Lytechinus pictus: one gene and its partners. The protein of the gene in region 2 interacts with the protein of the main gene of each other region in a pairwise test. Links are inferred from orthologs where the notes say so. Each region holds a gene or a part of one and is shown on either strand. Other genes may lie near its edges. The genes, in order: AP-2 complex subunit mu, ralA-binding protein 1-like and ras-related protein Ral-A-like.

The links.
Region 1: the proteins of ralA-binding protein 1-like (region 2) and AP-2 complex subunit mu interact in a two-hybrid assay, tested with the Drosophila melanogaster proteins (2 studies listed by BioGRID). The link is inferred for Lytechinus pictus from reciprocal best matches to the Drosophila melanogaster genes Rlip and AP-2mu.
Region 3: the proteins of ralA-binding protein 1-like (region 2) and ras-related protein Ral-A-like interact in a two-hybrid assay, tested with the Drosophila melanogaster proteins (6 studies listed by BioGRID). The link is inferred for Lytechinus pictus from reciprocal best matches to the Drosophila melanogaster genes Rlip and Rala.

The regions. Positions count from the first base shown.
Region 1 is NC_087258.1:28,022,826-28,034,026, forward strand, and holds the start of AP-2 complex subunit mu, read left to right. Parts: upstream 1-7,012; 5' UTR 7,013-7,125; intron 7,126-11,201.
Region 2 is NC_087247.1:48,441,250-48,452,693, forward strand, and holds the start of ralA-binding protein 1-like, read left to right. Parts: upstream 1-6,819; coding exon 6,820-6,832; intron 6,833-11,227; coding exon 11,228-11,431; intron 11,432-11,444. UniProt on the Drosophila melanogaster protein: Participates in receptor endocytosis during interphase, is also involved in mitotic processes when endocytosis is switched off.
Region 3 is NC_087245.1:39,573,664-39,585,453, reverse strand, and holds the start of ras-related protein Ral-A-like, read left to right. Parts: upstream 1-6,881; 5' UTR 6,882-8,865; coding exon 8,866-8,960; intron 8,961-11,790.

The DNA of each region.
Region 1 (11,201 bases), on a different chromosome or scaffold from region 2:
AAATAATATTGAACCCGCGCGAAGTGCGGAAGCTAAAGCGTTTTATCATTTTTTTTTTAAAGAAAAGGGTCCCGAGAAAAGGGTATTCTCTAAGTTATCAGTAATGAATACTTCCCTTGGAAAGATCAGATTTGATTACAAACAATTTAGCGACAGTGCATATCTTTAACTCGAAAAACAGAGAAGAAGGATGTATGCCGGGAGGAAGATATTCCTCCCCGCGCAGAGCAATGAAACTCTGAAATTTCAAAGCTAGGGCGGACGTTTCGTCAATTGTTTTCCCTCTAAGATTATTGAACTTCATTAAAAGGAAAATGGTGCGCAAAAAGTTGAAACTTTTGTGATTTATTGAAATTGTATAAAACAGGATGATGTATAATTTATTTGACTTAAATATCCTGATGCGCTTCATTTTGAATGATAAAGAAATTTAAGTGTCATTCAAAACTGAGGGCGCAAAACAAGACAGGAGATGAATGTGTAGGAAATGACATGAAGTTTAGTAGAATTTGATAAAAAAATATTGTACTTTTTTATATTTAATACGACACGAATTTTATACCTTCCTCTTTTTAAATTAGGAACCTGTTTGCCCCCAATTATGGTTGTATAGTAATGAGCTGAAAATCGGGAGAAGTTGCCTATATGGAGGTGACGGCAGAAATTGATATAAAGATTATACTCGCCCGGAGCCGACCCAACTTGCGCGACCAATTAAAAAAAGATAACTTCATGTACTTCGGTCTATCCTTACTCTAATTTCATGCCCTAAAGTACCGTAAGGGCACTAGTATTCAACCCGTTTGGAGAGTTTCCTCAAATATATAGAAATATAGAATTTACCTGAATTTCAGACCCGTCTTATTTCCAAGAGCAAATGCTGGTTATTCTTTTTCCGTTATTTTTTTCTTCAACCAGTTGACTGTGTGCGCGGGCGATCGAATTATACGGCGACGGATTTTGGTACTAGTATTCAACCCGTCGGCACTAGTATTCAACCTAGCGATGAAAGATGGCCTTGTCTCTCAATCTGCCCTTGTCCCATCCGACTATGAACTAGACCATTTGAGATGAGACCAAACAGGGATTGGGAATTAATCAAAGCCAGAGACTTACATAGTTCTAGATCTAATTTAGCAATTTAAACCTTTTTGAGATTTGCTATCAATCCTCACTAGGTTGAATACTAGTACCATTCAGTGCAAAAGGCCATCGCCGCATAATTCGATCCTCCGCGCATACAGTCGACAGATTGACAAAGAAAATATCGACAACAGATTACCCTGGAAATAATAAAGGTGTGAAATTAAGATAAATTCCCTATTTCTAAATATTTTGGGGAATATGTCAAAATCTTTGAATTATGCCGGGTTGAATACTAGTACCCATACGGTATATATTTGAACTTTAACTGGCAAGAAACACATATAGCTGAGATGGAAAAACAGGGTTAGAGAAAGGGTGAGGGAAACAAAGGAGAACTGCAATATTGTCATTTAACCGCGCGCAGCGCGGAAGCAAAATTCATATATATAGATTTAGAGCAAGAGTGAAGGAGTTTCTGTTTTGAGAAAAAAATAAAGATTAAAAGGAAAAACCCACAAAGCTACCTTTCTTTCCTTTCCTTCCTTCGCTTTTCCTTTTTCTCCTCTCTTTTTTCCCTTCTTTTTTTTTCTTTTTGGGGACGTTTTGGGGGGGGGCGACCGCCCCCACCGCCCCCCCCCTGGCTACGCGCCTGTGATAGGAAGAGTAGAAGAAATAACGTTGTTAAATGATACGAATTGAGACCTATCTGTTAGGTAACTCCTGAACCACTCCAAGGCCTTCCCCCTAATACCATAAAAGGAAAGTTTATAAAGAAGTATTTCGTGGTTAATGGTATCGAAGGCCTTGGAGAAGTCCAGGAAAATACCAACAGTATGAAAACCTTTATCTATGGAAGTAGTGATTTTATCAATAAAAGACAGAATTGCAAGTAAAGTGCTATGATTTTCGCGAAACCCAAATTGTGAAAAGATATTATGTTTATTAAAGAACTTACTTGTACGTGTATGTATAAGTTTTTCGAGAATTTTAGATAATGAGGCAAGTAATGAAATACACATTCACATTCCATAAGCAAGTTTTACACATTATTTGAAACATGATTATCAATTATACAATAAATCCATAACCCATATAATTATACAAATTATACATCAAACTTCACAGCAAAAACTGTGGTGTTAACCGGTGTACATAGAGGACCACACCACTTTATTTTACACCGGTGTTAAATTGACGGTGTTATTTTAACACCCATAGGTGTTATTACAACACCTTGGGATGTTACATTTACACTCTTTGGTGTCATGTTCAATCTCTAGGGTGTAATTTTAACACCTCAGGGTGTGGTCCTCTATTAACACCAACTGGTGTCAGTTTTAACACCACAGTTTTTACAGTGTTCAAAGATACCGGAAATTAATACTGATGCGTTTCAGCAATTACAAAATGAAATATTAACAAGATGTATTAAATGACAAGAGAAAAAAATGATTAAAAAAGATTTATTCTACCTCCCACCCCCCCCCCCCCCGTCCCCAGGTAAGGAGCGCCCTCCACTTTATGCCTACTCTACATGGAAGGGACTCCAATTCTCCGTATTGTTCTTGTTTTTTTCTGTGTTTTTGTGGTCTTGTCTCTCGCTGTTTATATACCTCTGCCTCACTCTCCCTATATATTCCTTTAATTTAGATTTTCCCATTTCCTTAAATGTAGAGACATCTTGCCTCTACCTAAAGCCAGCCTTCTTTCTTCCCATTCCTCTTCTTTAAATTTCCTTTTAATTTCATAATTTTTTTTAAAGGATGTTTTATTGTATTCTCTCAAATCAAAATAAACATTCACATTCCATAAGCAAGTTGTACAAACTATTTGAAACATGATTATAAATTATACAATAAATCCATAACAATATAATTATACAAATTATACATCAAACTTCAAAGATACTAGAAATTAATACTAATGCGTTTCAGCAATTACAAAATGAAATATTAACAAGATGTATGAATGATAAGAGAGAAAAAAAATATAAAAAGTGTTGTTCTACCTCCCAACCCCCCCCCCCCCTGTCCCCAGGTTAGGAGCACCCTCCCCCCTTTTTTTATGCCTATACTCTACATGGAAGGGACTACAATTCTCCGTATTTATTTATTTTTTTGTATTTTTTTTTGTGGTTTTGTCTCTCGTTGTATATATACCTTTGCCTCACTCTCCCTATATATTCTTTTAATTCAGATTTTCCCATTTCCTTAAATGTAGAAACATCTTACCTCTACCTATCATTATCATTGATCACCAGCGCCACAACAACCAAAATAATGTCTTCTGTGTGGGATGGGAAGGTCTGAGATGATACTGGCTTTCCTATTTTTTTTTTTTTTTTGCAGCAATGTTTTTCGCCAAGTTTTCTCAAAATCGGTCATGCCAATTTTATTGAATGTCATGCCATATTTAAAGGTCAAGTCCATCCCAACAAAATGTTGATTTGAATAAATAGATAAAAATCAAACTAGCATAACACTGAAAATTTCATCAAAATCGGATGTAAAATAAGAAAGTTATGGCATTTTAAAGTTTCGCTTATTTTTTTTACAAAACAGTGATATGCACAACTCAGTGACATGCAAATGAGACAGTCGATGATGTCCATCACTCACTATTTCTTTTTTTTTTTATTGTTTGAATTATACAATATTTCATTTTTTTACAGATTTTACCATAGGGACCGACTTAACTGAATCATATATTATTAAACAATGCTAATTCCACATGTTCAGGGAGGAATTAATCACTGTTTCACTTGACAATGAGGAGAAAATTAGAATATTTCATATTTCTTATAATAAAATACAAAAGAAATAGTGAGTGGATGATGTCATCAGTCTCCTCATTTGCATACCAACCAGGATGTGCATATAACTGTTTTATGAAATTAAGCGAAACTTTAAACGTCATAACTTTCTTATTTTACATCCGATTTTGATCAGTTGATGAAATTTTCAGTGTTATGCTTGTTGGATTTTTCTCTTTTTATTCAAATCAAGTTTTTGTAGGAGTGGACTTGTTCTTTAAGTCCTCACAAATTTCCTTGATTGGCTATAGAATCGCTGTTACTGTGATAAACCAGTCCTTCAATTAAATGCTGCCCAGGCTATCATAGACACGCGATAGTAAGCTTTTCAAGGTCATCAGGCCTCATGATGACGTCATATAGGCGCCATTTTGTAACATTATTTAAAATTTATCATATCATCATAATGGATCATTAATAATCTATCATATTTACAAAAATAAACTTTAGGCCAAGGGTCAACTATACATGTCATCAAAGGTCATGACGCGCGCATCGAAATTTAAAAATGCTAAAAATCGACTATTATTAATTTTGAGTACGTTTTAGGCATTTCAAAATTTTGCGCGCGCATTTTCGTACGTCACGGCATTACGTAACATATAATCATTAATCATTAATGCATTAATGATTTAATTCCAAGCAATTTTATACCTCAATCAACTCTCTACGACCACTAATAAAGGAATGAGCACCCATTAAAGTTTGCAGCACGCGTGCGCGCGAGCTCTAACCTCTAACCATAGGCCATATGGCCAAAAACATGCTTTTTGAAAATTCACTGTATATATTTCTTCAAAACAAATGGGGACCCTTTTTTCTATTTTGATGGAGTATAAATCACAGATATGATTTCATGTCTCATTCGATCATCAATTATATCATGACGTCATAAAAATGACGTCAGTACTAAAAATTTCAATTTTGCGTGTTATGACGTCATCATAATTATGCAAATATGACTCTAACTCTGTAAATATTGGTCAGTTTTCGCCAAATCTTCGATATGATGTAGCTGAGGGATTACTCTTTCTGAAATATTGTCTTTATTTTTCATTTTTATTAAGGCCCCCATTCCACAGAAAGGGGACCTTTGAAAGACCTTTGGAATGGCTCAGAAAGACCCCTCAAAGAACTCCTAAAAACTGATTGGTACTTCTTGTCTTATTGGGCTTTGACTAGTCCTATAGATCGAGATATTTTAATGGTCTTTCAGAGATCTTTTATGCAGTGATCTTTCAGAATTCTTTCCATGGACTTTGCCTGGTCTTTCAATGATCTCTCATGAGTCTTACGGTGATCTCCGCAAAAATCTTGAGAGACTGTCGAAAGATCATGGAAAGACTAATAAGAACTTTGAAAGTTCATCGCAGTCGACGGTGAGGTACCTTGTCAAAGGCCTTCATAAAATCTAAATAAATTACATTTTGAAAGACCATCAAAAGACGAATTTCCTGTAAGACAGCTGAAAGACTAACTGTACCGTTTCAAAAAGTTTTGGAGCTCATAGTGAGTTTTGGAGCTTATTGCCTGGTCGTTCTACTATGCTTCATGCAGTTGCTTAATGTTGTTGATGAGTGGTCTCAAGCTCTTGAAGAAAGGGGTACAATATCGATGTGATTTATTTAGATTTTATGAAGGCCTTTGACAAGGTACCTCACCGTCGACTGCTTGAAAAGGTCCGTAGTTTTGGTATAAATGAACAGGTGGTTAGATGGATTGAGGCATTTCTTGTTGGAAGGAGACAGAGAGTGTGTGTGAATGGCGAGTTCTCAAGTTGGGGACATGTAGATAGCGGAATTCCGCAAGGGAGTGTCCTTGGACCTGTGTTATTTTTTTTTATATATCAATGATCTCCCAGATGTTGTTACTGGAAGTAATGTAATTCAGTAATAAGAGTGTAACAAGTATATAAGAGATCAGAATGACATGCAATTCACTCCAGAGAGATCTTGATCATCTGAAATGCTGGTCAGAAAAATGGCTGCTGAAATTCAACCCCAAGAAATGTAGTGTACTCTCTATTGGTAACACGCAGGACCGACAGGAAGCTTTTGTATACACTTTTTTTAATGATGCGCTTGAACATGTAACCCCCGAAAGGGACTTAATTGGATGTTGTAATTGATGATAAACTCAGCTTTGAAGAGCACATGCAATCGAATATAGAAAAGGCCAACAGGCTATTGGGTTTGATCAGACGAACTTTTGTTTATCTAGACAAAAATAACTTTTAGGCCAACAGCATGGAAATTTTTGGTAAAAAGCTGATTTTTTCAGGATAGGTCCGGGAATATGTCTATATAGAATACCATACTAAAAGTCCTCATAAATCCTCCTTGAGGGTTTTCCGTAATCCAAGATGGTGTCCAAAATGGCCGCCATTCACAGAAAATTGACATAATTCACTCACTATCCACACTAGACATCCAATTTCGGTGCATATTTCATGTTCTAAAGGGATAAAAAGATCTATTGATATACAGGTTAGAGTGAATATATAGGCAGACCAGGGAAGATGGCGTCCAAAATGGCTGCCATAGCCTAAAAATTAAAAAAATTATCAATTTCTTACTTTAATGACTTTACTTTCGTGGGGTAGGAACATGGCATAAAAAATATGGGGAAGTGTATTATTATTATATACATGAAGTGCCCTAACTGTAGTAAATGCAGGTCTTTGACTTTCAACAGTTTACTTTCTAGAAAAAGTGGGTCCCTATGAGAACGGAAAGCTGTACTGTAAATAATACGAAGTGCTTTCTTTTGCAAAAGTAACAATTTATCTGATAAATATTGATGGGTACCCCAAATAAGAATCCTGTAGTTTAAATAAGGCAAAATTAAGGATGAGTAAAGCATGATTAATGTAAGTGATAATGGGGTGATAATGTTAGTGATAATGATAATGATGGTGATGATTATGATTATAGAGATATTTATTCGAAATTACTTAGCTCTATGGAGAATGATGACAGACCACCTAATTCGTCCTCATGACGAATTAAAATCTATTTTTATTTTTATTTTTTCTTTATGAATAAAAGAAATATCTGCTCATATCATTATTCTTTGAGGAGCCAATGTACCTACGATGATCGTTCTTTTAGCGCCATCTATGACCATTTTATGTCAACTGCATGATCCGCCCAACTGTACTTCCGCTGCCTTAATTGCATGCATTATACAGGAATTGATACAGAGCCGGGCCGTGTGAAGGTAGAAAGGTGGGTGTGTTCTTCTTTTAAAACACAATTTTGACTTATTTATATTTATTTTCTTGTTTAGTGAAACGTATCCCAACATTCCTGTTAATGTATGATATGTATTAAAGTGTGTTATTTGGAAAAGAATTTGCTGAATTTACAATTGAGTAACTTTCTGTTCTCTGTACCGTGCCCGTCCGCATAATTCTGGCACTGTCTGTGGCAGAATGAATACCGTACGCGGAAGAATTGTAATGTGTATTTCAGGGTAGTTGAATCATATTTGGATCTGGGGCCTGTTGCATGACGAGATGAGCGATACGTAGGAACGTCCTAGGACCATTCTCCCAAGATAGGAAGATTGGCGACAAATCAGCGCTTGCCGTTTCACGAAGGCAATTTTGTCTTTCAAGTCCGCGACATCGTTTGATATCGATAGTATCGGAAAAATATTTAGTCTTCATCGTCACCTGAACCTTTTATTTCGGAATGACGACTTTTTATAAAATCATATATTTCAATAAAAGGGGATCAATAATGTTTTATTTATTACTGATTGTAGAATTGATGTATGGAGCGTACTTTAATCTTTATGGGGTAAAAAGAGAAAAAACTTTCAAGATTCACAAACATAACTGGATAAAATCGAAATTTTCATTATTTCCCTTATGTAGAACACGGTGTCCTTTTAGAGACACCTTTCGTTGATATTTCAACGAAAGAGACCCTTGTCCGACCTAAAAATTTATTTAACTAAGTAATTTCGACATTTTATTAGTTCAATATAGGCCTAGGCCTACTGATTCTTTATAGAATACCGGTAGTACGGTACATATTATGTATAATGATGATTTTGCAAATTATGCGTTAATATGTTATCCGTTGAGGTAAAAATAGGGTTTGAATGGAGTAAACAAAATCAACAGTGTCTGATTGTATGAGACTAAAAAGAAAAATATGAGAGGCTGCCTGTGGCTGTGAAAAATCTAATTTATTTATTTTATTTGTCAGATATAACGCAAGAAATACAAATGTGAGTGTTTAGAGTATAAACATACCTCGGTTGCATGATGAGTAACCGAAGACAAGGAAAATATGAAAATTGCTGCAAACATGTCCAAGTGCATGGAGTGCTTTGCAATAACAATTAAAACATAGAAAAGGTGTGCAATCTGCAATGGAAAAAATACTATTTACAGAAATAATGCTAAATATTACAATGATCATAAACGTTGGTCATCTTTAAAGTTGATATTTCAAAGTTTATGGAAGCTTATATAAGAATATAAGGTTTAACTATAAAAATTTTATATGTTCAACATTTCAAAGTTGAGGAGTAGAGTCTACATTATTGCTTTAACATTACATAGGGGCCGAAAGGGCCTACCCTACGATTTAAAAAGTGCCTCTTCGTATGGACTTTCCATAATCTTTTCTTTAATGAACTAGCTTATCTTCATTTGTAATAATTGTGATGGACTCGTAAGCTAAATGCCTAATCTGTATCTTAAATTCAATTAGCTATTTTGTTACTGCTGATTTTTTGCTTTGTTTCACTGTTTCACAGTCAAGTTAGCCCAAATCCGACAATTAATTTTCATTGATTAGAATTAATCTCAGCAAAAAATATTATTATAATGAAAATGAAATAAAAATAAATGAATGATTTACCATGTTTAACATTTTAGTTTTGTATCGTTTTTTTTTTGCTGAATGTTATGAACACGTTTTTTTTACCTTACATAATTTCTTTTGTTTTCATGTTGTTTAATTATCTATAATGAGAAAGCATGAGGGGTCAGAGAGATAGTGCCGCCCATTTCGATATTTCAAAAAAAAATTTAATGGAAATGGTGTGGGGATATAGGACGGAGAATAAAAGAAAACATATTAAAAAAAATATTTGGGCCTACATTACCCCGGACATAATGCCCGGAGAAGTTAAAATGACATCTGTTTTTGGTCATCTTGCCGTGCAAAAAGACGACCTGAAATCGATGACAACTAGCCCCCATATAAAAAATAACTTGGCACCATCCCAGATAAAATGCATCAGTGTGCAACCCCAAAAAATGTTTAAAGGTGATATGTCAGTGTGGGTTGCCGTAAACGAATTTTCTCTCAATGCCGACGGTGGCGGGCGGTGTGCAAAGAAGATCATGCCTACGTAGGACATGTCTGGAGGTGTCTTTCCAAGGACCATTCTTCGTATCGCCCAAATCGGCTTTGTGAAACAGTTGAGCGATATCTCGTTCTTACGTAGAATGGTTCTACGAAAGACCCTTTCATGTAACAGGCCCCTGGATTACGATGCAGTGCGAAATGCGTATTTTCCCCCCTACTTACAACAAGGGCTAACTCTGTTTTTAGAATTAGCCAGAAGGCTCCTAGAGACTAGAGAGTAAAAATTATTCACTAACGTGTGCATACTTCGCCTGAGCTGGAGCAGTGGAGGCTGGAGGCCAAGTTCTGGAGAGTAAAAAAGTATCTAGGCCTACTGTACGTAGGCTTACATGTACTCTCCATGAAGCCTGGTTCGGTTCACTCACACTAATACGAGGTTAGTATATACACTAACCTCGTACAAGGGACCGTGTTTGACCCTAGATTTCGAAGTAGTCGGCAAACATCACTTCATTGCTGAAGTAATATTTGCCGAAACTCCTTCTCGCTACGCACCGGGGCTCTTTTCGGTAAGTAGCAATACATAAAAAAATTATACATACGATTTGGAAATAATTTCATTACAAAAAGAGCAAATTTCGCTTATCTCGGCCTAGCAAGTGACTTCGTTTGTCTCTTCTACGGAAATACAAGGAAGCCCGTTGGTGGCGCTAATAAATTTCACAACCTTGATTCAGCTCCTTGGTAATTTTATAACTGTGTCTAAATTCTTTGGATGCGCAATTCTTATGATTAATTTACTAATTATGGGCACCAATAAATGAAATACCTTCAAAAACATAATTCAAGATTACTAATGGCGATGATAACACTTTTTGCAATTAATTTACAACGATGACTAATAAAAAAAATTGAAAAAAATACACATGCCTGGAACGAAACCAGCAGTACAAGCTTTAACGAACGTCAATAATACGGTATACCAAAGTCTATACAATGAAAAGATTGGACACTTCACGGACTTCGCGTAATGCCTTGCGTAGATTTGCGTGTAAAATAGTGTAGGTGCCTAGTCTTTCCCTTGTCGTGTCTTTGATATGAATATAAATCGCGCGCCCTCTTTAGGCGAAAATTGATATCCACGCTGACCAATTTGTATCTCCGTGAAATCTTCACTAAAGATCAAGAAAACATACACATTTTTTAAAAGAAACTTCAAGGAGAAGTCACGGAAGGATCTAAATGATTCGGTAAGTGTCATAGCAGAATGTGAAATACCAGATTATGCGTGATATTTTATGTGGGCAAAAGCCCAGTATATTTTGGATGTGTCGTGTGTGTCGCGTGCATATGACTGATATTCCTTCGCATGCGAGATGATATGAACCCATGGGTGGGTTCGGTTAGCCATTGGTCTCTACACACCGTAGGTTTTCCCATGGTGAAACTAGACCTAAATCACACGTTTTGCTTTGGATTTTGAGCCCAAACTAACGTACATGGGCCAAAACAATATTTACCCCCCAAATTTAATATGTTTGTATATTTTATTCAATAGATAGTAGTAAATATGAAAAATAATTAAGAGCACGAGCGTTGACTTATCCAGTCTTTTTTTGTCGCCATCTTGATGTCTTTGTTATCGATACCTAGAAACCACACGCGTGTATACATGTAGCTGCCAATTTAAATTAAAAAATAAATTGCATCGGCCGATAAATATCATGAATCGTGAAATACTTGCATCGGTCGAATAATATCATAAAAATGAAAAGATGGGGAAAACTTGCCACGATGTTTACGTCGCCATCTGGTTTTCTTTGTTTTTCGCCAAGGCTACAGCACGCATATCGGGATATGCAGTGTGTGTTGTGAGGTTTTTACAGATGTATTTCAATGAGAGATGATTATTAAAGGACAAGTCCACCCCAACAAAACGTTGATTTGAATAAAAGAAAAATCAAACAAGCATA
Region 2 (11,444 bases):
AAGGCACTATATTTCTTAGTTAAATTGAATTTTTTTACCAACTTATGCACTTTTGTAACTGCCGAATATTGACTTAGTAGTACAAGTAATTATGGTTTATTAGAATGATCATTGTAGCTGTAGGCTGCATTATAATCAATCTACAAGTTAAAAAAAGACATACCATCATAAAGAGTGATAAATACATGAATTACAATATTTCGCACTAAAAAATCACAAGATAAAGAATGAAGGAGAATTGGGACAGACAAGTGTGGAGAAGAAGGGCAAAAATATTAAGAATAATGGAAGGCGCGAGAAGAATATGGAGGATAGAGTGGAAAAGGAGTGAAAGGTATAGCTTTTAGAGAGGAAGAGGATACAGTTCTTCTCATGCTTGCAGGAGAAGAAAAAGAGATGAAAATAATTAATGGAGCTAAAGGGGAGAATAGAATAAGAAAAGAGAGAGAGGAGTTAGATAAATTATATAGGCAATCAACAGAAAGGGGGAAGGAAAAAATAGTTGTTTACATTATTCATGGTATCGTTTTTTTTTGTTCAAAATCAATATCAGCTTTCAAATTTCAAATTCAAAAGTTTCCATTATCATAGCGTCTAATTTGGAATAATGCACAAAAGGTAAAGAATATCAAAACAAGTTTCATCAGGAAGTATTTGGGTGATTGCAGAATATTAAAATTAGTCGGTTTGATCAAAGTATTATAAAATAAAAATACCGGTAAGCATGGATTGACCATGAACAGGCATGTTGTCGAACGTAAATGACTAAATGAATAAATATACTGCCTGTAAGATGAAATATCATGAATATTGATTGGATTATTTGATTCCTTCTTTCTTTTGTATGACTGGGATGGGATGGTATTTATGAACCTGGTGTTTTTTTAATGGATTTGTAAATTCTTGAATTGGCAATATATTTTAGGTACACTGCATGTATCTGTTATAAATATGTAAATAAGCAGAACAAATAGTTACAAACATAAAGAGAGTATAAAATGAAACCACTAATCAAAAAAGGAGAAATGCTAACATTAGAGTGATTAATAAAATACATTAATTATTAACATGTAACCTGTAAAGTAACGGCTTGCATATGCTATTGGCAATGTATCAATGCACACTGCCGGTGCCGCTGTGCGTAAATACATTGAGTGCTTGATTAACAGTTATATTTATGGATTGAAAATTTGTGTCACCAAACTACAGTGTTTATTTGTGATAGTATAGAAAGTAGAATAACAACCAGCTGGTAACCTCAAAAAGTAGGCAGGGCTGATTTTAGGGATTAAATTCAGATCCCAGGGCCAGCAAGGTTAATTGTATTTCAGAAGTTCATATCATGGACTGTATTATCAGTTTCATCGGTTATCTGCACACAGATGTGTCACACAAATCAAATATCGTTTCTCGCCATCAGTCAATTACGATGTACATGTACATAGTTAAAAGGGCATATTGAAATGGTCATTGAACTACTGTACATGTTTTTATTGAATGACAAAAGATGTTTAAAGATATCAAATCAAGGATACTTGTTGCATTTTTGATAATGAGACAATTGTTCTCCTGACAATTGTTTCTCCACTAATTTATAGATATAAGGGTAGGATTAGAATTGTGATAAGTTTTTGGTTCAGAATCAGATTATGATTGGGATTCAGGTTCAGGTTGGATTCAAAGCTTGGGTTTATGTTGACTTAATGGCCCGAATTAACAAAGTGGTTTTGAAAACCCACGGTTGAATCCATGGTTTATGCAGATTCCCTGTATAAATTACGCTTAATTTAGCGCGTGTATTAAAAATTCCAATGCTAATGCGCGCTTTTGTCACAGTGCGCCAAATTGACGCCTGTTACCATGGTTAGATACGCTATTTTATTAATGAGTCCACTGTTTGAAGAGTGGACTCATGAATAAACTAGCGTGGATAACCACGGCAACAAGCGTCAATTTTGCGCACTGTGACAAAAGCGCGCATCAGCATTGGACATTCTTTAATATACGCGGTAAAATAAGCATAATTTATACAGGAAATCTGCATAAGACATGGACTCAACAGTAGGTTTTCAAAACCACCTTTGTGAATTCGGGCCTATGTGTGTGCATTTACAGTAGGAGTAATTGTCGCAGGAGCAAATGTCATAAAACCGCATTTCTATACCCCGACAAACAAAGTTTGAAGGGGGTACATGTACATGTACAGTGTATATAGGAATCTGTATGGTTGGTCGGTCCGTTGCAAATCTTGCACATGAACTACTTCCTCAGTTTGAACTACTTCCTCAGTTTAAACCAGTTCTCACACATGTTGGTTTTGGGTAAAGATGTGCAAGACACATTTTTCGTATGAGTCGGAAATTGTGTTGCCATGGTAATAGCATATTATGGCAAAAATAAGGTGAAAATCTTGCGCATCAAACTACTTCCTCAGTTTTTTAACCAATTCTCATGAAATTTGGCACACACAATGGTCTTGAGGTGAAGATGTCCAAGACTGTCTGAATTTTTTTGTTTCGGAGTCTGCCGGTGTTGTGCTGGTCCGGTATCCTGATAAATGAATTCACGAGCGGGGAAGTACAAAGAAGTCACGGATTATACAATATTGATTTCATTATATGAAATCAATAATGTATAATCTGTGACTTCTTTGTACTTCCCCGTTCATGAATTCATTTCATTTTTAAACAAACATTCATTTAAAACAAACAAGAAAAATATTATGAAAAGACAGGAAAAAACTTGCCAATGTTTACGTGGCCATCTTGTTCTCTTTGTTAAAAGCAAAGCTACGAGACGCATGTAGAGTCTGCTGCCCTCTATATGCATCTTGTACCTTAGCTACTAACAAAGAGAACAAGATGGCCACATAAACATCGGCAGGTTTTTTCCCGTTTTCTCAGATTTTTCTCGATGGTCACCTGAAATGTAACAAAGAAACCTAGGTTATGATTGGTAAGACTTAATAAAACATACTCTATAATTTGTTATGTATTACATTGTTTTATCGGAATACCGGAATGGAAAAAACAATACTGGAACCCGTGCACATTGGACGGATTCCGGTATTCTGTCCATTCCGACCAAAGCCTAGTTTAAGCAAAGTTCTGTTTTTACTGTCTCTTGAATAGCGATGTAAGTGTGAAGGAAGATGAAAATATTGACAGCTTTAAGAATGAAAATAATTACCATGTCTGACAAGAGGAAAAATCTAGTCAGTAAATTGGCAATCAACACATTATGAACAGGAACAAAGAGTGAATGAAGAGGAGGAAGATCATGTTAATGATGGGGGGGAGTGAAAAGAACAAAAAAAATTCTGAAAACTGAAGTGTTAACTCATCGTTCAAAAGGGCCAACGACTGCGCGCATTACTAATGTTTTAATACTGAAAATACTGGATTTAGTATGATAATTCTATCATTAATACAATATTTTTGTGATACTTTGTCATCCCTTTAAGCTTTGATGAAAACAATATCAATAGTTATTACAGAGTGGGCGGGGGAAAGAGAGTGGTAGACGGAAAAGGGAGAAAGAGGGGGGGGGGGGGGAGGGTGACAGACATAAATATACAAGTATAAAGATATGGTGACAAACGGTAATTTCCAATTCGTCTATTGCCAACTACATTCATTTATTCTACTGCCATTCCGTCCAACATTTCATTTAACAACCATTTGGTCCAATCATCACTTCGTCTAATCACCATTTTGTCTCCTAATATCCATTTCATTTTCATTCATTTTGCACAATTTATACTTAGTTCAATTAGACCAAATGGTATATGGACTAAATGGCTATTGGACCAACTAGATATTAGATGGAATGGCATTAGACTAAATGAAAGTAGACTTATGTGGTGAGTGGACGAACTGATGGTAGACAAAATGATAGTAGACGAGTTGGCAATTGGATGAACTGGCATTAGACGAATTGAAAATAAACCGTAAACAGAAGAGAGAAGACAATTTCCCTTTTCTAGCTAAGGAACAAAACACAAATGAGGTCATGATTCTAATGCATAACAGGTGTATTCTACATCATTGATTATTTTTTTAAGATGTACTAATACCTAATTTTCAGAGTGTCTTTTGGAAAAAAAGATTTAGTAAACTGTATAAGTTTCAGGAGGGTGGAGATGATGGATGCCCCAATCGTCTGTTCCTTTGAAATTTTCAAGATTTCCTGTTAATCCCAAAATGCTTGTAGACTTTAAAGGGGAAATCCAAATATAGCCTTAACTGGGACATGACAATTCAAATCAGTCAGACAACTTTGTTGACTCAAAAGTCAAATACACACCAGAGTTGTGTCACTCAGTTTTTGGTATTCAATCTTTAAGTCTCTCTCTTACTCTGTTCCCCTCTTTCCTTTCTTGCCCTTTTATTTTCTCCTGTTTTTTGCTTGACCTCTTCAACCATATCCTTTTCCTTCACCCCCCCTCTCTCTCTCTCTTTTCCTGTACATGTATATCTCCATTCTCATTTATCTTTGCTGTATTTCTTGTTTAATTAAACTCAGATTTGTGGCTTTTTTCCAGATATGAAGCTGTACTTTTTATTTCTGACTCATCACCATATGATATGAGGCTGCGATTCGGTGTTTCCTATAAGTTACACATGTTTAATTGAGGTCATTCATTACTCAAAATGAAATCAAGGTCAAATTTTGGATGTTTGTAATATTATTTTTGTGGAAGTCTCCAACTCCAAGTGATACTACAAAGCACGACCAAACATTCATTCTACAGCAGAAGTAATAATAAGACTAATTTTACGGCAATTTAGATTTAGGAAGACACACTGAAATATTTCTAGAATAGAAATTGCAGGTTACTGCAGTACTTCACTTCTTCATTTAATGTTCCCTGAAAATGGGGGGGGGGGGATCCTGAACTGTAGTTTGATTGCAATAATTTGACAAATGTGCATACAGTTACACCATTTTCTGTTTTCCTAATCAATGCAACTGACAGTGTGCCATCCCTCATTTATTTTCCACTAGGGTTTTGAAATCTGATACTGAACATGAAGAATTTTTAAAATGTGGTCATGTACATTTCAAGAAACTTCACTACATGTAATTCAGTGATAGCCAAAATTATACAAATCAATTTGATGATAATTTGATTTTCCTCGAGACACCTGTTCATTTGAGAGAGTGGTGGCAGTCATAATTTGAGGCGAGGTAATTTCTTCATTCTCCTAGAAGAAATGCTGGAGGTTCTTTATGATATTATTAACAACTTCCTTAGCAATTATACACACTTGTCAGCTGCTGCCATCTATTGTTGAGGGTGGCAGTAGATATTGGACATAGAGGTATATTCCCCCCCCCCCCCCCCGAGGCAATGAATAATTATTTGCAATATTTCCATTCCTTGCAGATTTCATGAGAAGAAAACAGGCAGTTTGTGTGTGCAATATCATGACATGACATGGGAGAAAAATAGTACAGGGCTATTTCAAATTACACCCTGTTTATACTGATACAAACTACATGTACAATTACAAACATAATTTGAGAAACATCAGAAAAAATGATCGTAAATCAGAATTCCTTGATTATGATGCTTAGTTTTAGTTTATTTCATTTTTTTTTACAATAGTGTTCATTATTGATATATGGCATGTAATTTCATGTTTGTAACATTCATCCCATTGAAGACAATGTTATTTCACCGTAACTTTATGTTCCATATACCCCATTACAAGTTAACTTTCAATTAGTTTCCAACCAATTAATAACCCTAACATCTATAACTCAACCAATGCATTGTACTGATGTGTACATGTAGTATTGTTTATGTATAGGCCTGCATGCCCTTTACATGAAGGCTCTTTTTACCATGCCAATCATATAGCATAATTAGCAAGGCTATTTTTTTTGTTTACTACATGTATTTTATGGCTTACATATAGTCCGACCTACACAATGTGCATTAAGTTTTAATGAGGCCATCATTGTTAGTCATTGTTCAGTATATCAAATGGGCACATCAGGGCATAAAAAGCTGTCACATGTTTCATTACCAAACACATCCTAAAGAAGAATGTTGTGTTTCAATATGAATAAACTCAAAGTTCTATTACTTTCATATTTTCATCTTCTTGAATTGATCTTTGATATTTTTTCATCATCATTTTAATGTTTGTTTCATTTACTTTTTATTCATTCTGTATTTTATTCTTTTAATCATTAAATAGTTTTAATATCTTTCATTTATATTTTTTAGTATTTATTAAGTTTTTTTTTTTATGTGTTAAGTAATTGGGAGTTATTTACATTTTGTTTGTTTATTCTTCCCTAGTTTGAATATTCAATGTTTCAGTGTGCTGAAACATATAAATATTTGTCATTCATTTTATATACTGTAACGATTGTACCCCTTTTTATCAATTAAAATTAGGTGTTGACTAACTTGTCTGCAAGCTAATTATTTGAAGGCCATGTAATGTAGGAAATAAGAATTAAGATGCAAACTGACTTTTTGATCACAGCATCTCAAAGCTGTCCACTTTGGCCTCTCTCTTGTAATTCAAGCTACATAGGCCTTCATAAGCTTCCGTTTACTTGCTAGACTGGTGAAATATGATTCATTATTGAGATATATCAAAGATGAAAATAAGGAAGTTTGTCACAAAAACAAAAATACTTTCCATTTCATGAGTCATTGAATCTTTAAGTTATAATCTGGATTGAAGTATCAATATACAATGTTATATGCGCAATATTTATTTATTTTTGTTTATGATGTTATTTCATTGATCTTGATTTTCTTCACACTTTGCAAAAGAGCTACTTGATAGTATAAACATGGAGGTCCATGGTATAAAGGATGTCTAGTAATTATTGTGTATGTACATGAGAAAAAAGGTTTATTAAAATCATATGATATTTTTCAGGAAAATCAAAATAAGGAATCAAACTGAATTGTTGGAATAGTGAAAACTGAATGTACATGTGAAACACTTCAAATCTCCAAGAAAATTATGCAAATTACTGTTAGTCAGGAACTCAGGTCAAGTTGTTTGAATGCACAAATTATGTAGACAGAAAGAAGTAATATTTTGGCATGAAACAAAGAACATTAGTACCTATGCAAGGTATTTTAGCAGATCAATAAAAGTCATATTTCGCTCGCTACTTTCAATCCGAGACCGACGTGGTGAACATTTGCCATGTTGCCCTCCTCTTTGCCCATAGGAATCCTGTACAAAAACAGAGGGCAATATTGGCCATATTTCTGCTAGTGTGCTTGCACTGTAGGAGCCGATTTTGATCGCTAGTTTCAGTATTTGAGAAATCTGGCTGGAACCAGTTAATGAACAAACACATTGTTGATAATGCGCGGCGCGGCCAGTGCATACACAAACGTAACCCAAGCGCAAGATTTCTACGCGTTGAGTGTATGTGCGCCATGCATGATGCACGACTGCAATGTAACAATTACGTCACAATTGCTTATTAAGGGTTACTTCGCTAAAGTCGTGAATAACCTGAAATCAGAAATAGTGATGAGCAATCAGGCATATAAATTGTTCCAAATAGTAGCTTGAATTACACATTGTACAGCCTCAGGTAATAATAATAATATTGACTGGCTCTTCTTTCGGGAAACATCAAATATATCACCCTTAAAAGAACCATATTGGCCTCGTCTAAAGACTCAGGCCAATATGATTCTGTTGCGGGCGACATATTTGATGTTCCCCTCAAGGCCAGTCAATATTATATAAATATCTGTGCGGGAGCTCTTATTTTTGTCACACAAATCATGTATATTATACTTGTAAGTTTGTCTTCATCTATTCAAAGGTCAAGTCCACCCAAGAAAATTGATGATTTGAATCAATAGAGAAAAATCAAACTAACATAACGCTGCAAATTTCATCGAAATCGGATGTAATTTAAGAAAGTTATGACATTTTTTATTTCGCTTATTTTTCACAAAACAGTTAAAGGGGAAGTTCACCCTGACAAAAAGTTTATTGTAAAAATAGCAGAAAAAATAATAAAAAATATTGCCGAAGTTTTGAGAAAAATTCAAATAATTAAAAAGTTATTAGAATTTCAATTATTTGATTTGTGACGTCATATGCGAGCAGCATTCCTACATAGCGAATGGTAAAAAATCAATGAAATGTCATTTTCTCAGAAAATTGAAAATGGTTTTCACTGTACCTGTTGTATATCAATAGACAAATCATTCCACACCCGATCATGAATAGAAAACAAAATTAAGTCATCAGGAACCATATAAAATTTGAAATTCATGCATTTTATATTACATAACACATGGGGCAGCTGCTCGTTTATGACGTCACAAATCCAAACTTTGAACTCTAATAACTTTCTTACTCTTTAACGGATTTTCCTCAAACCTTCACCAATGTTTTTGACTATTTTTTCTGCTATTTTTACAACCAAGTTTTCTTCAGGGTGAACTTCCCCTTTAAATGCCCAACTCAGCAATATGCAAATGAGAGAGTCGATGATGTCCTTCACTCACTATTTCTTTTGTTTTTTATTGTTTGAATTATACAATATTTCCATATTTACAGATTTGACAATAAGGACCAACTTGATAACCATAAACTGATACAATAATGGTAATTCCACATGTTCAGGGAGGAATCAAATTTTGTTTCACATGACAATGAGGAGAAAATTAGAACTTTTCATATTTCATATAATAAAATACAAAAGAAGTAGTGAGTGGGTGATGTCATCAGTGTGCCAATTTGCATACCAACCAGGATGTGCATATAATTGTTTTGTGAAATTGAGCGAAACTTTAAAATGTTATAACTTTTTTATTTTACATCCGATTTTGATGAAATTTTCGGTGTTTTCCTTGTGGGATTTTTCTCCTTTTATTCAAATCAAATTTTTGTTGGGGTGGACTTGTCCTTTAAGGGAGTCTTTCCTAGGTAAATTGCCAGTTTGTCTACTGCCAACCGGTCCACTGACCACATGGTCTACTTTCATTCGATCTAATGCCATCCCGTCCATCAACATTTCGTCTAACAACCATTTAGTCCAATAACCATTTGGTCCAATCATCACTTCGTCTAATCACCATTTCGTCTATAACCATTTCGTCTCATAACCAGTTGGTCTAATATCAATTTCATTCTCATTCATTGTGCACAATTCACACTTAGTCCAATTAGACCAAATGGTATATGGACTAAATGGCTATTGGACCAACTAGATATTAGATGGAATGGCATTAGACTAAATGAAAGTAGACTTATGTGGTGAGTGGACAAACTGATGGTAGACAAAATGATAGTAGACGAGTTGGCAATTGGATGAACTGGCATTAGACGAATTGGAAGTAAACCTCTTTCCTCTATCCGTCTGAGTTTCATCATAAAGCAGCCATGAACATAAATACAAGGCTTTAGTTTAGAAGATAAGCCATCTAGACTCAAGGAAGGAATCAATGGAGGATATCTCTTACATCTTTGGATTTCATGAAGACATGAAATAGCAAGATTGGAGATTTAGTATTGTTTGCTGACTGTAGCAATACCATTATTGTAATCTTTGATGATTTTATTTAAATGCCCAAGTCATTTCAAGAATTTGTTATAGAATTACTTATTTATAGCTAGTCAGAAGCAACACAACGGCCTTTCTATTGCACAAATTTCTTAAAATCCCCAGAAATTATGAATGAAAAGTCAGCTTATCGCATACAGATCTTCATATTTACTTTTAATCATTTTCCGGTTGATAATTCTTTTTACTTCCAGCACTTTGCATGAGCTTTAATATTTGTCATAAATATCAAATGAATTATTTTTGAAAAAGTAATTCTTTGAATGGAAGAAAATGAAGTGATTCATTATGTTTTACATGTAAGTTTCTATCCACAAAGAATTTTGAAACCTTATAACCCTAGGAACTAGCAAATATATACCGTAAGTAACGGTGTATTAACCGCACCCGTGTATTAACCGCACCCCCCATTTTCGGATGGAAAAAAAAAAAAAAAAAAAAATCATTAAAAAAAAAAAAAATCATTAAAAAAAAAATTTAATCAAACTTACTTTCTATCTCTAATATGCGTATTTAAGAAAGAGTCAAGAACCAAAAAATATCGAAGAATTACTGGTAAAAAATGATGGGAAATCAGCGCTTCGTCACTTATCTGCAAGTTGCCGATATTATTGGCCAGTTCCACACTCCGAGTCACCTCACACACACACATATGGTACCGGTGTTCATTGCAAGTACCGATACCAGCATCAACATGGGGGCTCACCCATACGAGAAGATCGTTCATATCATATTTCCTGCATCACAGCCCCACTTTTGCTTTCAGAATTCTGTCTAGCATTCAATGTCTTGACATGAATTTTAGACAAGGGAATACGGGAAGGTTCAAGATACGAGAAATTTGCGATTTTGTTCAGGTGTTTTTCTTGTCTGCTTTGAACCACTACCGGTAGTTCTCAGTACGTGTGTGGCGGTGTCTTACAGACAGCAAAATAGGAAAAAAAATGCTAGTACCGGTATACCGTATTTTCAATGGGAGCTCTGGGCGGGAATAAAGTGAATAATAATTAAAAATAAAAAGTCGGAAGGAGTGAAGATGGGGATTAAAGATTGATTTTGAGATGATGGATGATAGAGAGAAATGAAGGAAAGGCAAATGAAAGAAATTAATTGTCAAATAATACCAATAATTTGTCAAACAAAATAACTTCCACGGAAAGGTAAAGCGCCAGCTTACGTTGACGTTGCGATAAACATTACACATGCATGTCTTATTCGGCTAGCTGCACCGCGCTGTGCGATCGATTGGCGTCTGAACTTTGCCGCGATGACTAAAAAATGACAACAAAGACAGAGTCACACCATTAAAAAAAGTCAGTTTCATGAAGGTAGGTGCGTTTGTTACCGTGATATAACTTTGAGGGACATTTACGGCAGATACCGGTAGTCATAGTTGCTTCCCTTTTATACCCGCGGCTCATACCCCTCTAAACGGGATTGCCCCAAGCGGCTACGCTCGGCCACCCGACGCGAGTTGAAAACTGGTAGTGGTATCGGGCTGAGATTGGCTTGGCTCAGACCTGTCACCGTGTATAAACCGCACCCCCGACTTTTGATTCTGTCCCGCCGAGAAAAAGGTGCGGTTAATACACCGTTACTTACGGTATGGAATCATGTCAGATCTATTTTTTCTTTTTATTTGTTATTTGCACAGGGTTAGCAACAGCCGGGATCTACCGTCTTTCTGGTGTGAAATCAAAGGTGGAGGCTTTGAAGGCCCAGTACAACAATGACGAGAAAGTGAACCTGAGGGACCATGATCCCACCGTTGTCACTAGTCTCTTTAAATTGTATCTCAGAGAACTGCCGGACACAATCTTGACTTCAAGATTTACCCCAGTATTTGAACATTCTGCAGGTACGTTGGCAAG
Region 3 (11,790 bases), on a different chromosome or scaffold from region 2:
CTGCCTTCTCCAAATGCGGTATTCAAAATTTGACATTTAAGCGCTACACCAGCACCCACTTTAATCTAGTTATAAATTGATTCTTGTTGAAATATTGCAAATGCTTTGTGCATTGCATAAACAACTTTTATTTAAAGGTCAAGTCCACCCCAGAAAAATGTTGATTTGGATAAATAGAGAAAAATCAAACAAGCATAACGTTGAAATTTCATCAAAATCGGATGTGAAATAAGAAAGTTATGACATTTTAAAGTTTCGCTTATTTTTCACAAAACAGTGATATGCACAATTCTGTGATATGCAAATGAAAAAGTCGATGTTCTTCACTCACCATTTCTTTTGTTTTTTATTGTTCGAATTATACAATATTTCATTTATTACAAATTTGACAATTACATGTAGGACCAACTTGACTGAACCATATAGTATTTAACAATGCTAATACCACATCTTCAGGGAGGAATTCATCGTATTTCACTTGACACTGAGGAGCAAATTAGAATATTTCATATAATAAAATACAAAAGAAATAGTGAGTGAATGACATCATCAGTCTCCTCATTTGCATACTGACCAGGATGTGCATATAACTGTTTTGTGAAATCAACCGAAATTTTAAAATGTCATAACTTTCTTATTTTACATCAGATTTTGATCAAATTTTCACTGTTATGCTTGTTTGATTTTTCTCTTTTAATTCAAATAACTTTTGTTGTGGGTGGACTTGTCCTTTTAAATCTTCACATGAAAAGTTGTCTGTGTACCAGTATTACATCGTGGAAAGAATGGAGGGGGGGGGGGATTGTCTATTCATGTTTACATCGATAGAAAATTGCAATATATATATATATGTATATACCTTGCCATGTGGTACGTACATGTACCTGCATACTGTTCTCTACTGTGTTTGTAACTTAGTTTTCTGTTGTGTGAATGGAGCATCATCAGACAAATGCATGTTGATAAACATGTGCCATGGAACACAAACATGGCATTTACCTTTTGCATTGCATGCCTCTTCAATCTTGATTTCTTTGGTTTGTAGTAGTATGAAGCTGTGATGGGGCTAATAGATAGTTCTCTCCTAATGTAGGTTTGAACTTGACGCTGATGGTAATCTACTATTAGTAGTGAGCTGCTTTTTGTGAGAAACTAACTGATATAAAGTGATTACGATTTTCTTAGAGGTGTTTCAGTTTTGGGGAGGAGGGGGTGCAGTAGGTTGTAGTATCTTTTTTTCAAGGCTTTCACTATAATCAAAGCATAATTAGATGAACTATTAAAGGGTTTATTTCATCATCACAAAAGATGCCATATCAAAGCCGAATAAACAATTCGGAAGACATGGTTTATAAGTAGAATACAATCAGTTTCGTGCATTTTGCTGTTTACTAGCTGGTTACTTTGCTTCTGAAACATTGATTTTTTTTGGGGGGGCTGGAGGTGAATCCTCCTCCCCCCAAGAAAAAAACCCGTAAAATTGTAATGTATTCAGCTGCATATTGTGATAAGGGTATCAAGAAAAGTGTATCATGATTATATGCAATAGTGAGATTGATCACTTTAGGTTTGCATCCTATGTGCATTTCATTTGACAATTTTACCCATTTCATATAAAGTATTTAAAGCTTTTTTTATACAGGAAAGGGATGGGAGGAATTAAGAAAAAGAAGAAAAAAAAGGCAGAACCCTTGAAGTAATGCATGGGTTCACTGTCTATCTGCTATTCAGGAGTTGGCGTAACTCAACTTTTCCAATTTTGTAAATTGCATATCCCGCTTCAGAACTCATTTAAAAGATCGATGCTATCATTCTTAACCCTCTCACATCCAGAGAAAGCACCAGCCTATAGAATATCTAACAGCAAAACTACCCCTTGACAATACATTGGTTAAAGGGAGTGTGGTATTGACTTTGTGCCTGGGCCAAAAGTTCACCGAACCCCATTTTGAGTCAACCTGTGTTTTCCTAAGGGTAGCGTTTCATTGCAAAGATGCAGGTGCGAGGGAGGGAACTTCAATCGATCTCATCTTCTACTCTATCCGCTTACCTGTGACCCACTGAACTGAAAATGATGTATTCACAATGAATTGCAGAGAAATGCATGAGTGGGACTACATGTATCACATACCCATTTTTATAGAAAATAGTGTTTCACCAATATGGAGAGAGAGAGAGCTGTATAAAGATCATATAAAGTATTAGAGCTCCTTACATGTTACTTGGTAACAGTAAATTATTTTATAATCACGACAAAAAAAATGAAAGAATCTGAAAAAATAGGTGTTGAAAATGATTGTGAATGTTCCCAAAGTAGCCAAAATCAATGCGTATGTTCATGCCATCTTGCTCTAGACCCTCGAAGTACATGTACAGTAAACAAGCAAGATGTTATTGGATGTAAAAAATTAGGTTACTAGTTTGTGATGTTTCTTTATCCAGAAGTACCGTAACTCAAAACGTTGAGAATACTCTCTCAAATGCTGCCTTTAACTTAATAACCTCCATAGCTGCTCTTTCATTAAAGGAGTTTCCGGTTGTTGAATAAATCCCTAAACAACCGATTTGTCCCTAATTGTACACCAATAATAGCTTAAATATGCTTTTCACATTGCATTTCCTTAACCCCATACAATCCTTAACCCCGGACTATCCTTAACCCCATACTATCTTTTTGGGGATTCACACTGTCTTTCTTAACCCCATACTATCTGCTTAGCCGGGGTTAAAGCCTTAACCCCGGACTATCCCACAGCTCATGAATATTGATGATTTTACCATACAGAGCGTGATTAACGTGCTATTTCGACTTCTGTGATTGGCTATTGCTTAGCCCCACGTTTCCTTAGCCCAGTTTCGTTTCACACTGCATATCTTAGCACCGCAATTGTGGTGCTAGCACCACAATAAGCCAGCTAACCCTGCTTTTTTGCAGGGCCAGATAGTACGTACTATTTACCGTGCTAGCCCACTTTGCTAAAACGTAGTGTGAAAACGAAGTGGGCTAAGCTTAACCCCGGGAAATTGGTGGGGCTAAGGCCCCCCCTTAGCCCCACCAATTTCCTGGGGTTAAGGGAAAAAAGTGCAGTGTGAAAAGCATAAAAGTGTATTTGATTATTTCCCAATTTGCTGTGAAAGCTGTGTTGTACCTCACATCACCTGATGAACACCATTATGGCACAGACAGAGAGAGAAACTGCATGAATAAACACAAATCAAACATTCCTATAGATACCAGAGTGCAGATATGCCTACTGTGCGTGTCTGTCCATTCTCCAAAATACTTTGAATGTTTAAGGGGGTGAATGATAGTAAATATAAACACATCCATCATAGTTGATCTCTTGGGCTCATCATTCTAGAGTACTTGAAAATCCCCTAATGAGAGATGAGTGCTTGGTAGAAACACCGTTGTATTAAACATCATCAGGACCCTGTAACAACATACAGCTTATCAATTGATTGTGATGCAGATATATTTTACAATTGATGACACACTGCAAAAACTTTGGTGTTGATTTAACACCAGCTCGGAATCTATATATGTCCACTCCAGAGAAGTATTGAAACAACACCAGTTTTAATACTAATCTGGTGTTAGACAAAAACGAAACTGGTGTTGTTTAACACTTCTCTGGTGTGGACATATATAGATTCCGGGCTGGTGTTCAATCAACACCAGAGTTTTTTGCAGTGTACAACACTATTCAAACCCCATGATCAATCGTGCTTTATGTTACTGGGACCTTGAGCCTGAAATCTTGCATTAAAGAAATCCTCATGATTTTGTCAAGAAATGTTAAATCAATTTCAATACAAATTTTAAACAATTTGAAGGTGTTTGCCAAGTTCTATGTTTTTGCAACTTGGGTGCTTGCATATGTTGCAGTAAAAACATGTGAATGTTTGTGGCTATTTCATGTGAGTTTGGGACACCATTCACTTGATGTACATGTAAGCCTATCCTATGTTTACATGATTTATAATAGCTACATGTACATGTATGTACTGTAAAACCAAGGTGTTAATCATGGGCTTTGAACACACAACACCTTTTGTCTTAATAAACTAATCATTGCACCAGTGGATGATAATAATAATAATGATATGTGTAAGGTACATTTACCCAGGGAAGCCACTTCAGTTCTGAAACCTGTTCTCCCAGCGGGCCCTGCTATTATTATTACCCATGCTTTAGCTGTATTAAGACATGAATGATATCTCATGTAAAATGTTTGAAGTGGTCCTTTGTAAATACGGGTGGTGCTGTTTATAACGCTTCTGTTGTTGTTGTTTTTTGTCAATGTACCCCTTGTTCTTCATAATCCACCCGCCTCACTCTGGCAGGCCACAGCAATGAATTCATGTATATTGCGTCAGTTTATGCATATTCTTTATAGATTCAAATCAATTCATCATAAAAAGTTGTCTTGCTCTCTTATTATTCACTCTCCCATACATGTATATATCTAACAATAGGTGGTTTCAGACCACCTCGAAGTTCGTCAGTTCCAGGTATTTTCTGATCAGGAAATTTACCCTGATCAGAAAATACCAGGTAATATTGGCAATGTGAAAGCAAATTACGCTCAATCTCCCCGAAAGAAAATACCCACTAAATATTAGGTACTTGTCAAAATAACGAGAACTTTAGCTGGGATTTTTCCAAGGTCGCAGGTATTTTGGCAATGTGAAAGCAATTTACGGGAACTCTTAGCCCAGCGTGTAGTTGGGCGCGGGCGCCGTGGGTGGCTGCTGAGCTAGTGATTTGAATCTCGTGCCTTGCCTGCTTATCAGACCATACTGCGCATGCTCGTAACTTCAGGAACATATCCCGAAGTGTACGTTTCAGGGCGGTGCGAATGCAGGAATAATAAATGGGTATTTTTAGCCTAAAAATGTTCTCGTAATTTGACGGGGATTCTTATTATGGAGGCGGTTTGAAACCACCTAATCATTCAAGTTTTCCCAGATTAATACTTGGGTCTATATTTCTTTTCTCCTGGGAATATTCCCTCCTCATCTTTTAATTTAATCATCCCGCTGGTTGATATGAGCCCTCGACTGTCTACCTCGTTGCGTCTGCTTGAGCAGTTATATCTTTGGTAACCTTTGCAACAACAAAAAAAATTGCAAAGAATCTTATCCTGTCATGTGCTTGAAATGTAGCAAAGATATTTTTGGAAACGATTGTGATGTATGATATTCAATGATCAATGTAAATGTAGCTGTATACTTTCAATTTTGCTTTCATAGTTTGGTATATATGCTGCTACATGTATTCTGATAATCTCTAGTGGGGCGTGGCAATTGGCTGCTATTGAGAAAAGCAGCGTGAACAAAAATAAGACCATGTTTGTTTTTGAAGTATTATTGAAAAAAAAAGTATTTTTGATGTAAGGGAGATCTGTTATGAATTCAAGCTTCCATATGAAATCGGTATAATAACGAATTCAAGTGAAATTGAAACAAAAAGCCTCTTTGAAATACTATTCAGAATTTTCATACAAAATGTACCAATGTCAGTCTAGTACCATTCTACCAACAACCCTTTAAAAAGGAGGGAGGGGAGGTGATATTGATTAAGGGAGGAGCTTTATTTAGATAAAAAAATCTAAGGTTTCTATCTACATGTAAATAAAAAAAATAAAACATGGAAAGATCATACAATGTGTTGTCCCTCGTTCCTGTCTCGTTATTTATACAAAACCGCCATTTTTTTATGATTTTGTGGACGAGCATGGTGTCCATCTTTAAATGACAGTGCCCTCCTCCCCCCCCCCCCCACTTTGATGGTGAACAGATTAGAATGCTTAAAGAGAAATTCCAGTAGTTGCAGTAAACACTGATTTCATGAGAAAGTCTGTAAAACAAGGCTTAATTGTCAGTATATCATCGAGGATCTAGATCTGGTACAGTTACATAAACTGAACTTTGTGAAATCTTGAAATCTACGCTGAAAAATGTTCACACTGAAGATCACCAACACAGATAGGCACACGTGGGACAGTGTATTATTATTGCTAAAATAAAGACCCGACGGAAGTGACCGAATCCGCGCTTATTTTGCTTATTTCTCAGCAATCACACAATTTCTTCCAGAATCCTTTGGCACATATTTTTTATTCATACAAACAGACACTTAGGTGGTCATTATATTAGATTCTGTAAAAAGTCATTTTTAGATCGTTACCAAAACTGGAATTTATCTTTAAATGGTTACAAGTGTGGAGCGTTGTGGCCCAGTGGATTAGTCTCAGGACTTTGAAACAGAGGGTCATGGGTTCGAATCCCAGCCATGGCGTAATTTCCTTCGGCAAGAAATGTATCCACATAGTGCTGCACTCGACCCGGGTGAGGTGAATTGGTACCGGCCTGGCAGGAATTTATTCCTTGAAATGCGTGTGCGCTGTAATCTCAGTAATTACGGCTGCCAAGCTACAGCTGGGGTAATAATAATATCCAAGTCCTTTGGAAGTGCATAGAGACATTATTCATGATTGTGATATGCGCTATACAAGAACTGTATATTATTATTATCATTATTATTACAAGAAACATCACGAACAGCAATCAACTCATGATAGCCAGCCCATCCATGTTTTTCTTGAACACCCACCCCCTTTGTGAAACATCAGCATAATCAATGCCGACTCGGGATATGCTGAACATAATGATGAAGGATTACAACACTTACGATCACTCCAGATCAGATTCTAATCCATGCCTGAGGTAGAGTTTCAACCCAACCTGGTTTGATCGATCACAATTCTTTTTCTTGAATGCTTACATCACCAAAGGGTATAGGCAACAGATGGGGCAATATATGCTGGTGACATTTTGAATGAATTATCATCGTGATTATTAACACTTATCGTGTTGTTCGGAGCAGTGCATTATTGCACATTATGTACACATCATTTACTCCCAACTCTAGCTGTTGGATTCGCTTCACGAACACTGCATCTTGGAAAGGGGATTTCCATAGGAGTTCTGTAGAGATTTGGGATGATTTTACGGGCCGATGACGTTTCATTCAGCAAAATGTCTCATAGTTTCATGTGCAGTGCTTTAAATGAGTCATCGTATGTTGTGCCAACCATACATTTCATCAGTAATGGTTCGTAATCACCGATGATAGATGCTTGAATCTGTGACCTTTTTGAAAATACAAGTTTCCAGGTGTATTGAAATTGTCTTGTGACTCTGGCTCGATATTGCTTGAGGATGTGCAAAGAATAATTTATGTGAATCCAGGCATTCTTGTGTATATTTTATTGATATACCTGCTAACAGCAAGGAGCTCTCCTCATGAATCATTGGATTCTCGGCGATCGTTTCTCGTCGATCACAAGCCTTGCTTAGCAAACAGGGTGTGGATAGCTGTGTGTCAGGCCTATCGATGCTTGCCTAGTATCTCCAACATCTTATAATACAGTAGCAGGAGCTTTGTGCTTGAAAAAAAACACACTTTGCCTTGGACATTTGCTTCACGTGTGTCGATATCATCAACGAAAGGTTTTTATTTGCTGTTGGCACATCGTTAGACCTTTACTGATCTTGAACGATTATTTTGTTTCAGAGGGTATAAGATTGAAATGATGCATACAGGAATGCGTTTCCTTCTAGAACATTCTTGACAGAACATTGAATGCATGTGCGGAGTAAAACTACATGTATGTTGGACAACTACATGTATGAAGGCTGATGTGGATTCTTAGAACCTAGCACTTGAACTCACACAATGGTTATGTCAAACGATCGTGGATAGTAAAGGATTAAAATCAGCAAACATGATGGAATGCATTTCGTAATGTGCACTTCATCTGACTTGATAATCCTTGGTCATATTTTTTTGTATTCCTGATGAAAATCTACACATTGTGAAATTAGAAACATCTTTGGTTTGCCAACTGAGTGACATCCAATTTGTTGGAGTTCCTCAAAGTCAATGATTTTTATCAGCATATAGATTGCCGAATAGATTGAAAGCTTCAGGTGTGCAATATAAAGGAACCTACTTCATGGGGAACAGTTGTGTCATCTTGTCATCCTGACCCCGTCATCACTTGGGATGATCACAATGTTCCATAATTAGCAGGACACCCAGACGAATTGTCACGCCAGAATGACTGTGTAAAGTGTGTTGTGTGAATGTTATCCGACATGCTCAAAGCTTCACTGCAGTCAGCAGCGAGAGAGAAAGTGCAGTCATCTCTCTTTAAACCTTGACAAGGAAGGGATGGATACACATGTATTCTTCTCTTGATATACATCTTTCTTTGGTTAGTATCATTGGATATTTCTTTAAAACTTGGATACCATTCCTGATGGGTTATGAATTGCTTGTAGCGTTTGCACCGGAATTTACACAAAGCTCCAGATTTTAAGGTTCTGTCTATCTCCGATTGCAGTGTTCCAGCTTATAGTGTGGGAAGAGTAGTCACTTCTGTCACAGAATATGGTGTGAAAGTTCTGTCTCTGCTCTATGTGTCTAATTATCAATACAACAGGATAATAATTACAGCGCAAATACTTTTTAATAGTCATTTTGATTTGGAACATGTAACTGAACTTGAACTTTTCGGAACTATTAGTATACAACATTGTATATTTATAAAGCAGAAGGAAGCAGGCTACAAGATCTCAGTCATATTGTAAAATCTCACTTGATCTTTGAGGAACTCCTCTTGGAACCTCTGGCCTTATCTTTGAGGAATTCTCGGTCACATGCCCTTTTTTTTGGACTCTCATTTCAACAGTCATCCAGCCCAGGACACTCTTTAGTAGTCCTTCAGGGACTTCACTAACTTTGTGGAAAATTTGATTCGTGTGTAGCGACTTTGGTTGTCTTTGAATCTCACGATGAGCAGTTCAGAGGAGGACCGTGTTGATGGCCATCTGCGATGTCTTGAGATACTTCCTTGCATGCAGGGCGTGACTGATCAACCACTCACAGAGTATGTCCAATCGTTCTTGTAACATCATGATAGGATTATGCATTTTTTAAAAGATTTACTGGTGATGAGTTCTGCGCCACCTGCTGCATAATTGTTTCTGTCATGCTGAATTTGCCATCCAGTTGTTACTACCATGGTAACGATGCTCAACAGCCAATCAAAATAAAGGATTCCCCGTGACCTTCCATTGGATGGTTAAAGTTACATGTTCATGAGCTTAAATTGGCAGAGAAGCCCCGGGGGGGGGGGGGGGGGTCAAATATATTGCTGTACACATGCATGACCATATTATTTCCAAACACCTCAACAAGTTTTTCTCTGTGTGCAAAATAACCCCCTAAACAAGTTTTTCACGGGCTTTATTTACACATTTTGGCGCCAAACAAGTTGTCGCCAGAGTATAACCCCAGGGAAAAAAACATACCCTAAACATGTTTGGCTAGTCTTAAAAAGAAAAAGCTTTGGAAAATATACCCTAAATACGTTTGACCCCGCGATTGATCATTGACCAGTCTTTCAGTGCACCCTTTTTTTCTTCTAAATCTGTGTTTTTGATACCCTTAACGAGTGCACATGCGGCCCGTGTCCAAAACTGAAAAACACCCCTTTAAACATCTTTTTTTTGGGGGGGGGGTCATGCATGTGTACAGCAATATATTTGACTGCCCCCCCCCCTCCCTGGGAGAGAAGCAAGAAAGAGCATTGTAGATTGAGCTAGTGCTCAATCGCTAGATATGATTTCTGTACTTGGATGTCTTTATTGACACCCCATCTCTTACAGTTTGGTTTAATTTTAGATATGAGATTTGCTCCACTTGCGGAAGCTGTCTTGATGTTTTTGTTTGATAATGAGTCAATGAATTAAAAATTCATTGAAAAGGTGGTGGCTTTTTAAACCTTTAAATCTTATTTAAAATCTTCCATTGCTTTGCAAGTTATAGAATGGATCTTATGTTTAGCTGAAAGCCTATAATTGAAGAGCATTTTCTCAAAAGGAGACCATTGAAAAAAAAACCTCAAGGATAAGTCTTGAGGTTAATGACAATTGTAAAAGAGACATTGTAGCATCAATGTGGAAGAAGACTGATCTAATTTCAACTTCTGGACAATACCCATGCACCAAAAGCAATATTGTTTGCAGCAATGCTTGTGAAGTCAAAATACGAGTTGACAGAAAATGGGTCTGCCTTGTCGTGGATGCTACTGAAACGCAAGACAAATTTCATTCCAATTTTCATGCAAATGAATTGGATATATTTATTTGTGATCGTGGAGTCGATTATAATCAATGCCACTGTATGGATTTGATAGTTTTCCACCATCATTGTGATGTGGTTGGCCTTCGTCGATAACATGCATTTATACATGATGTATAGATGGAAAGAATAAGCTTTGGCAAGCAGTTGGTGCCCGGTGGGCATGAGGGAAATGTAATAGGTCCGGAGCATTCATGCTTGATTAATGCTCAGATTATTTTTCCCCCAAGGGTTTTAGTTTTTGCTATATTTAGCTTCTCTTGCAGCTAATTTGTAAATCTTTCCTCCGGGCTGTTGGGCGGGCGGGGATATATCTGTTTTTATTCCCTTGTATTTGTAGCACGTATTCCGGCACATAATTCCCCCTTTCTCTTTCTGTGGAGACACATTAGGTGGTTTCAGACCGCCTCGAAGTTCGCCAGTTCCAGGTATTCTCTGATCGGGAAATTTACCCCGATCAGAAAATACCAGGTATTTTGGCGGTGTGAAAGCAAACTACGCGTAATATCCCCGAAAGAAAATACCCGATAAATAGTAGGTACTTGGCGAAATTACGAGAACTTTCGCGGGGATTTTTCCAAGGTCGTGGGTATTTTGGCGGTCTGAAAGCAAATTACGGGAACTTTTAGCCCAGCGCGTCGTTGGGTGCGGCGCCGTGCATGGGCTGCTGCTGGGCTAGTGATTTTGAATTTCGCGCCTTGCTGCTTATCAGACCATACTGCGCATGCTCGTAACTTCAGGAACTTATCCCGAAGAGTATGTTTCAGGGCGGTGTGAATGCAGGAATAATTAATGGGTATTTTTCAGCCTAAAAAAGTTCTCGTAATTTAACGGGGATTCTTGTGATCGAGGCGGTTTGAAACCACCTATTGTAAATTTAGGACCATAAAAAATTATCAATTATAAAGAAGTAAAGATCTGTTCATGCCATAGCCCAAAAGGGTTTGTACATGTATGCCCCCAGCCTTTTTAGGGCTAAAGTACTTAAATACATATTTTCTCTTAATTCTCCATTCACTATGGCCTAAATGTGGGACATGTAAATGCAGGGAGGATATGCGGCCCCAATACCTACCGGTATATAGAGGTAGTAATTTATCATTTCTTTTTCGCTAATACATTCATTACAGCATGTGGGGAGGCGAGTGAGGTACATATACATGTACATGATGTAGCCGCACAAATTATGCCACCAGTGTCTTTTGAGTAATATTCTGTTTGTGCATTAATTTGGTGCATATTAGGGCAATTAACGTATGCGTATCGGTTCAAATTTGTCATTGATTTTGAGTACATGTAATTAGATTGATTGGGTATGTGCATATGATTATATAAAAAGGAGAAACAACTGATTACTCGTAGGCTGCATTTCCCTGATCTATTACATCAAAGCTGACCTGTTTCGTGACTTCAGATACCATGTAAATTTGCTTGCAAATAAATATACCGTAATAGTATACATGTATCACGATCAATTTATCTTGCTCATCATTTTCGGTATTATGGCTTCTGCGTTCACTGCATTATTAGTTGGTGTAGAGGTGTTGTAGCTCAGGGGATAATTCTCTGGACTT